Cricetulus griseus: one gene and its partner. The protein of the gene in region 1 purifies or fractionates together with the protein of each later gene. This does not show direct contact. Links are inferred from orthologs where the notes say so. Each region holds a gene or a part of one and is shown on either strand. Other genes may lie near its edges.

What was found.
Region 2: the proteins of Fbh1 (region 1) and Cul1 purify together in Homo sapiens (affinity purification with western blotting; 7 studies listed by BioGRID and IntAct, with this or other methods). This does not show direct contact. The link is inferred for Cricetulus griseus from reciprocal best matches to the Homo sapiens genes FBH1 and CUL1.

What each region holds. Positions count from the first base shown.
Region 1 is NC_048596.1:228,545,367-228,549,543, reverse strand, and holds the start of Fbh1 (F-box DNA helicase 1), read left to right. Parts: upstream 1-1,260; 5' UTR 1,261-1,417; coding exon 1,418-1,418; exon of another isoform or gene 1,419-1,446; intron 1,447-4,177. Other genes in the region: Ankrd16 (ankyrin repeat domain-containing protein 16), read right to left, coding at 1-212. UniProt on the Homo sapiens protein: 3'-5' DNA helicase and substrate-recognition component of the SCF(FBH1) E3 ubiquitin ligase complex that plays a key role in response to stalled/damaged replication forks.
Region 2 is NW_023276806.1:222,445,026-222,448,674, forward strand, and holds part of Cul1 (cullin-1), read right to left. Parts: intron 2,890-3,649; coding exon 2,839-2,889; intron 2,362-2,838; coding exon 2,271-2,361; intron 1,421-2,270; coding exon 1,257-1,420; intron 1-1,256. UniProt on the Homo sapiens protein: Core component of multiple cullin-RING-based SCF (SKP1-CUL1-F-box protein) E3 ubiquitin-protein ligase complexes, which mediate the ubiquitination of proteins involved in cell cycle progression, signal transduction and transcription.

The DNA.
Region 1 (4,177 bases):
ATACTCCAAGTCTCCACTAGATAAGCTAGGATGTCTTGCCGCCCGTGCCGGGCTGCACAGTGGACAAGGGTGTCCCCTGCTGGCCCCTGGCAACCTCGGGCCGCCTCCGGCCCCTGACAACCTCCGGCTCCCTCCAGTTCCTCCTGCAGGGCGCGCAGCCGGCCCTCCTGCACCAGCCTGCAGAGGCGTCGCGGATCCCCAGGCGGAGCCATCACCTTAGACCAAGAGCGACAAAAGTAGGAGGAAGACGGAGATCGAGTCCTAAACACAAACCAGTGCAGCAATAGGTGGGGAGAAGATGATGGGTAGGACTTCCGGTTCCTCCACGTGACCGCTCTCCCAGACGCTCCGCCCCTCAGCGGGATTCGGTCTGTCAGCGTCTTTCTTATGCCACCAGCACTGATTTGGAAGTCACAATTCCCCACGTAGAATGGTGTCTCCTCAGGCGATCGGGTCGACAACAAGCACGCTCATGGGCCATTCATTCTGTTAACTTTGCTCCAAACATGCGGAGTCGTCAGGGTGGGACCTTGGGTTCCCGGAGCCGGTGCAGCTTGGGTTAAGGTTATGCACCTGACATCCTGGAGCTGTTCCTTGCACCCGAGTGATCTGGGGACGAAGTACCTAACGGAATGTAGTGCGCCGCTGTACCGCCAAGTCCTGAAATGGAACAGAGGGGCTTTGCAGCCTGATCTCGCACCGTGCGACTCTCCACTGTACAGTCTATGGGCATGTCTACCACAGCCGGGGTCTCGGGCTGCTCCGGTGGTTGCTACAGAGGCGGAGGGGCGGGAGTGCGAAGCATGGCTGGCTCTCTACAGCCGAATGCACGCTGCCAACCACCCTGGAGCCTACCCGGCTCACGTGTGCTGTGGGGATGTCTGCCGGGCTGCCCAGTCGGGGTCTCGGGCGGCCCAGGCTCCCAACAGCAGGGTTTCTGGGGCCTCTCGGAGGTGGGACAGTGTCCCTGTCTCCGCCCTCTCCTCATCCAATCCGCAGCCGACCCCAGCCCCCTCCCCGCCCGCTGCTGCCGCCTCAACCCCCACGGGAACCCAGAGAGCTCGAAGGAACTCTGGGAAAGTTTCCTTCGCCTCCTCCGCGCCAGCGGAAGGACCAACGGGGCGTGGCTCAGTTCCTTGAACCACGCCCCCTCCCGCCTCGCGTACCGATTGGCTCTAGAGGCCGTCTGTCTGCGCGCCCCTCCAGTTCCGAGTTTCGACTGGTTCATGGGTCCGTCCGTCGTCTCCGGCGGAGGGTGCATCTTGGCTGCGAGGAGGCGGAGCTCGCGGAGGAAGTCTACAGTCGTCTCTGCTCGCTGTCTGGGCCAAAGGAGGGGCTTGCTGGTCGAGAGAAGGCTGGATGTCCAGCGGCACCGGCCGGGTGGTGTCGGCGGCTGGGTCCTGGGCCGGGCCACCATAGTGCGTGAGACCGTGGACTTGGCGTGGGGTGCGAGCCGGGCAAACTTTATCTTGTGGGGCCCAGCGCAGGGGTCTCGGCCTCGGGGGTGGGGCCCGAGCACAGGGTGGATGTAGGAGCTGGCCGCGCCCGCAATGGTCAGGTGGGGGAGGCCGGGGGATCTCTGCAGACCGGTGTCCCTACGCCGCTCCCTGAGGTTCCGGAAGGGGCAACACTCGAGAAGTAGCCTCTGCTGCTGGCAAGCCTGACTTGTCTACACTGTAATGTTTTTGACCTTGGGCGAGTCATTGTATTCTGCTCCCGACATTTGTGTTTGCCTTGGTAGTCTTCCACCCCCTCGCCTGAACTGGTGATTCAGGGGACATAAGGCGGCCTGGGGGCTTTTGGAAGGCTCATTGAGATCCGAGCAAGCTTTGTTAATTCCTTTCGAGGACCTGGATATTTAACCATTGATATGTTTGTTTGTTTGGGGGGTAAAAATGGAAGTCGCTACTTGTCAGGCTTAAAAAACAGTTTCTCTGCATTTGGCCCTGCACTCTGGCTCACAAAGTGCCTGTCATTGTCTATTCCATAAACAGCCCATAGGTAGCATTCTGGTTTTAGAGGCAAGGACATTGAGGCCTAATGAAGTTAGTGATTTTTACCACGTGTTGGTAAGTTGAGGCATCTGGTAGTTTCAAACTTTTTGCCATTTTGCATGGTTTTAAGTCTCAACATTTGGGAGACTAAAATAGGAGGACCTGGAGTTCGAGGCTAGTCTGGGCTACCTACTCCTTCCTTACAAATGGTGATGGATTTTTGCTTTATATCTCTAGTTTCCCATTATTTAAACAAAACTGAGACCCGTGGTTCACAAGAAGATGAAATATTTGAAGTCCAGGATAATTGGTTATTTAATTGGTGTTCTAAGTAAGCTTCTGCCTCTCCTCTGCTTCATGAATTTACTTTGTTGTCTGTTTTCCTTTGGGAAACTAGATATTGTTTGTGAATCTGTCCCACAGCCCTTGTGATTTGGAGAGTAGTGGGTACTTGTGCTTGAAGCTTAGTAATAGGGCTATTGCTGTTCTGTCTGTTTGGTCGAGCTGACCATTTCTTTAGTGAAGGTTTTTGGAGTTTATGGCCTGACCTTTACTGTCTAAATTTCCATGTAGCTGTCATTGGAATTGGGATTTTCTACCTGACTTTTGCTGTATCTCGTGGATCTGTGGCATTTGGGTGTCTTCATTGAAGAACCCATTCTTTAACATGTTTCCTGACTTGTGAATACGTAAAACTATTTAGATTCTAATTTCAAATGTGTTACTATGTCTTTTTCTTCTTCTTCTATTTTTCTACCCCTTCCAGGCTGACTTTAGTTTAGAGACAAATTTAGATTCTGTCTTTGCTGTTCTGGCTGTGAAATAACTTCTAGAAATTTATCACCAGAGCCAACTCTCATGTTGTCAGTGGTCAGTCACATGCTTTTAGAAGGCGCTCTTACATTTCATAGACCTTTTCTGGAGCTTAACCAGGTATTCCTGTAAAAAACAAAACAAAACAAAAACAGAACCTTTAAAAACAAAATAATATGGACATGGTGGCACACACTTGTTATCCCAGCACTTAGCTGGACTTGTTCTAAGACCCTACTGCAGCAGAGCAAAACAAACCAACAACAAACAAAACAAAACAAAAAACAGCAGAAGAAATCCTGGGTTTTTAAATTTTTATTTATTATTTGTTGTTGTTTGAGACAGGGTTTCTCTGTGTAATGGCTCTAGCTGTCCTGGAACTTGCTCTGTAGATTAGGCTGACCTTGAACCCACAGAGATCCTCCTGCCTCTGCCTCCAGAGTGCTGGGATTAAAGGCGTGTGCCACCATGCCTAGTGAAAAATTATTTTTATAAATTAAAACTTTAGGTCTTTCTCTCACTCTGGGAAAAACTATTAAAATAGCTATTTCTCCTTTGCTTTTTTACATAGCTAATGATGCCATTTCTCTTACTGTTGCATAAGAAACTTCAGTTATCCTTGATTTATATCTTAACTCTTAACACCTTGTTGATACCCACCTGCCCTTTCTACCCAACTTGTACTCTCAGGCCCTGTCCAGTTCCTGTTTAACTTGGTACCATGACTTTCTGATTTGTTTTGCTGACTATCTTCATGTCTATCTAAACTTGATTGTGTAATGACTTTGCTTTTAAAAACTGCACAAAACTCTGAATTGTCTATGCAATAAAGGGAAATTTCTTCAGCAGTATATAAGAGGACCTTTGTAGTCTCTGGCCCCAAGTTTATTTTCCAGCCTTGTTACCTATCATTCCCTATTAGAAATGAAACTTTTTTGTCACAGAGGGCTTTGCTATGCCTTTGTTTGTTTTTTTGTTTGTTTGTTTTTCTTCAGATTGTTTTCTTATGCCTAACTGATTTCCATTCATCATTTACAACTCAACTCTTCATGGAGCTTCTTCCAATGATCCTAATTATATTTACTACCATAGGCCCTTATGCATGTATTTATGTAGCGCTTGGATTGCTGTATGTTTAGCAATTTGTGTTTGTTTTGTTAGCTGCCTTATGGTCAGACTTACTTATTTTTGTATGCTCTCCAATGTCTAAAATAGCATTAGCAACAAGGATACCATAAGGAATGCTCTCATGAAGTTCATAGTAAATCTGGGATGCAGTAGATACATGAATAGATGGAGGAATGAATGAATAATAGGAAAAAATTTCAAGTATATAAAGATGTATTGTGGACAAAAAATATGTTTGTTTT
Region 2 (3,649 bases), on another chromosome or scaffold:
AATGCAAAGAAGATTGGAAACAGGTCTTTGCAGTAAGAGACCTGTTTACAAAAGCTACTCTGTCACACTAAAAAATTAAATAATGGGCAATACCACAATTCAAAACAGGTTATATTTCAAATACTCTTAAGGAGCAAGGAGCTGACCAGGTTTCAGTCACATACTAGATACAAAGAACTGCTACCATTCCACATAAACAACTAACTAGTCCCACTTTAGTTGGGTTTTGAGATATCAGAAATGTGTAATTGGGTTTCAATTTCAGCTTAGAAGGCCCACTTACATGTGCAATGTAAGTGTACCGTATGAAAATGCACTTTGAACACCACAAGCTGGGCATGACTTTTTCTGTAAGTCAGAAGCAGGGTGGTTGGTCTTATGTATTCTTTCTTTGAACCACGGAAGCAATGACTGTACAGTCCATTTCCTGCCCAAGAGAGGGCAAAGCAGGTACTAGACTTGGTCTGAACCAGACTCTTGAAAATCTAGTACATTCAGGAGAGAAGTCACTCTACAGTTGATTGGCAAAATCCTGACACATATTTCTTGTTTATTTACACATTGCCGACTGTTGTGTTATAACAGCAAAGTTGAACAGTGGTGGAAGAGATCATACATAGCACGCAAAGCCTTAAGATATTTACTGCCTGGCAGTATATAACAGAAAGCTTAAAGACTCCTGACATTCCTCAGCCCCTTCATCCAGAATACCTGAATTTTCAAGAAAGAGCAAAGAAAATTCCTATTAGAAGTTCATGGAAGCATCATGTAGTAAAATAATGCTTATAGAATACGATACATAGCTCTTCTCCCAAGTCAGAATTTAGATCCTCCTTCCTAATGTAATCTTAAAGACTAAGCTATAAACTCCTAGGAAATATTTAAGAAAAAAGTAGCAAAAACAAACAAATGAAATAGCTAACAAATCTTGGAATATCTGCTCAATACTATCTCACTGACAAAACTGTGGGGCCCACTAGTCGTCACACTCAAGGGGAGATGGTTCAAAACATGAAGAAGGCATGCAGTTATCAAGGCACCTCCTTAGCTATGCAAAAGGAATGAACACTCACTCATGATTATTATCAATTTGTGAAAGTCCCTTACAGAGTGACAGGAGCTGGATCCATGGGACATAGTGTGACATCAGTGCCAAGCCTGACTTGTGAGGAACACTGCATTGCCAAGAACTCACTAGAGAAGCAATGACTATTTAACTTACATCTACTTTACATACTATGTATGTTTAAGCTTACCTTTTTCATATATTCAGTAACTGGGTTCTGCTGCAAGAATTCAGTACTTTCTCTGGTATAAAATCTCTCTGTGTCAGCCAAAAATTGAGATTCAAAGGATTCTTTATACACTGTTAACGTAGGGCCCTTTGCAAATGCGTCATCTTCATTCAGCCCCAATTCCACTAGAAAGAAATATGAACTATATTTACCCTACTTTTTGTAATATTTCACAGATAATACTTTGGTGTAACATTCAGTTTAAGTTACACTTGAAAGATCAATGTATAATGGAGGGTTTTAAGGTTAACTGTTATTCACTAGTATTGAAATATTCTTATTTTAATAAAAGAGAAATAAAACAATAAACTCCAAGATATATAGGAGTAGATCACCTCTACCTGGGCCAGGGATACTTCACAATTATCACAAGTTCAGTCAGAGAAAGTCTACATTTCCAAAAGTGATCTAAATGTTGTACTGTAAATTTTCACAGAAACACAAACCTACCTGAGCTTGAACAACACATCAGTTAATCAGGGTCTCAATCTTAATTTTTTTTTTTAGATTTTATTTATTTATTATGTATATAACATTCTGTTTCCATGTATATCTGCACACTAGAAGAAGGCACCAGATCTCACAATGGATGGTTGTGAGCCACCATATAGTTGCTGGGAATTGAACTCAGGACCTCTGGAAGAGCAGTCAGTGCTCTTAACCTCTGAGCCATCTCTCCAGCCCCTCAATCTTAATTTTTTAAGCTGATAGGTTTCTGGTTATCATTTAAGTCAAAAACAGTCACATTATATATAAATATTTCCTCATGAAAGCAGCAAAGGAAATAGTTCATTTTTTTTCCAATCAAAATTTCCTTAAAGTACAAAGATTAAATAACTTATGATTTATAAAAGTACTGCTTAAAAGTACCTTAAAAATGGAATAATATTTGTGATATTTAAATGTTTTTAAATGAATGCCAGAATTATCATGATTGCCATGTGATATGAAAACCAAATAAAGACAATTATTTACCATAAGATTGTACAACTCCACTAATCAGTCTTGTGTTGATGGTTTCGCCATTTCTTTCCTTTTCAATCAGTTTTAAAACAGCATTTGTTACCTTTAAGAATACAGAAAAAATATTAGGTAGAAATGTTACAGGTCATATCCTTTAAACATTTAAAGCCATGTTTTAGGGGTATGGGTAAGTACATATATGTACATGTGTGTGGAGGTAGACCAGTGGACAATCTCAAGTATGGCTCCCCGGGAATCATCACCTTGTCTTTTTGAGATGGAGTTTCTCACTGCCATGGAGCTCATTCAGAAGGCTAGGGTGGCACTGGCAGGGAGCCCCAGGGATCTGCTTGACTCTACTCTCCAGTGCCAGGATCACTAGTGGGCATCAACACACCTGCTTTCTTCCATGGGTGCTGGGAATCTACCCCAGGCCCTCATGCTTACATGGCAAGCACTTTACCAACAAAGCCAGGTCCCCAGACCAACAAATACTCTTGAGATAGTTCAAAGGCTTGGGAAGACAACATAGAAATGGGAAATTTTTTTAAAAGGAAAAAAACACATCCATAATAGATACCTGTTTATTCAATGGCCTGAATAAACAATCTCTCCATGTCACCAATGCAAGCTGGATGGAAAAGGGGGAAAGATGCATTAAATAACTGTATTTCACTATGGTTCTCCAAAACCAGTCAGACAATAATTTGAATTCTTAGTTTTACCAAAATTCCTAGATTACAACTCAGTATAAAAAAAACAAAAAAACAAAAAACTTGTATTACAATGAAATCAGCAACCTCTCAAGTGAGTCACTTTGTACAGATGTTTACGAGCTCACATTTTGACAGTGAAGTTCAAAAAGAACATTCTGCTTTAAGGTGAGCACTTCTATCAGCTTAAAAGCCATTAGTAGATTCAACCTATCAATGTATTCCCTGAATCCAACAATTTTAGACCAGATACACCTAATAAAGGTAATTCCAGTCACTACCCAAGTTTCCTAACACATCAAGATAAAAAGAATATAAAAATCTTCTAACTTTGTATCTGGATTATGTATTTTAAGTGCAGTTTCTTGTACATAACTTATTAAAATCTTCTATTGTACTTTTGTCTTCACGTGACTATGTGTGAGACATATATTGTTGTGTGAGCATGTCACATGCTCACATTGTGCCTGAGGATGTACATACATGGATGGAGTCATCTGTCTCCACAGCCCCGATATATGCATTTTAACGTGAATGTATAAACACCACGGCCCACTTTTCCATTCCTAGTCTCCTCATAAATATACTAAGATTAATTATTGTTAAAATGGTCTCTAAAAGAAGAAAGTTAGAATTCATACATGATTTTTAAAACTGTTTGTTGGGAGAGGTATTAAA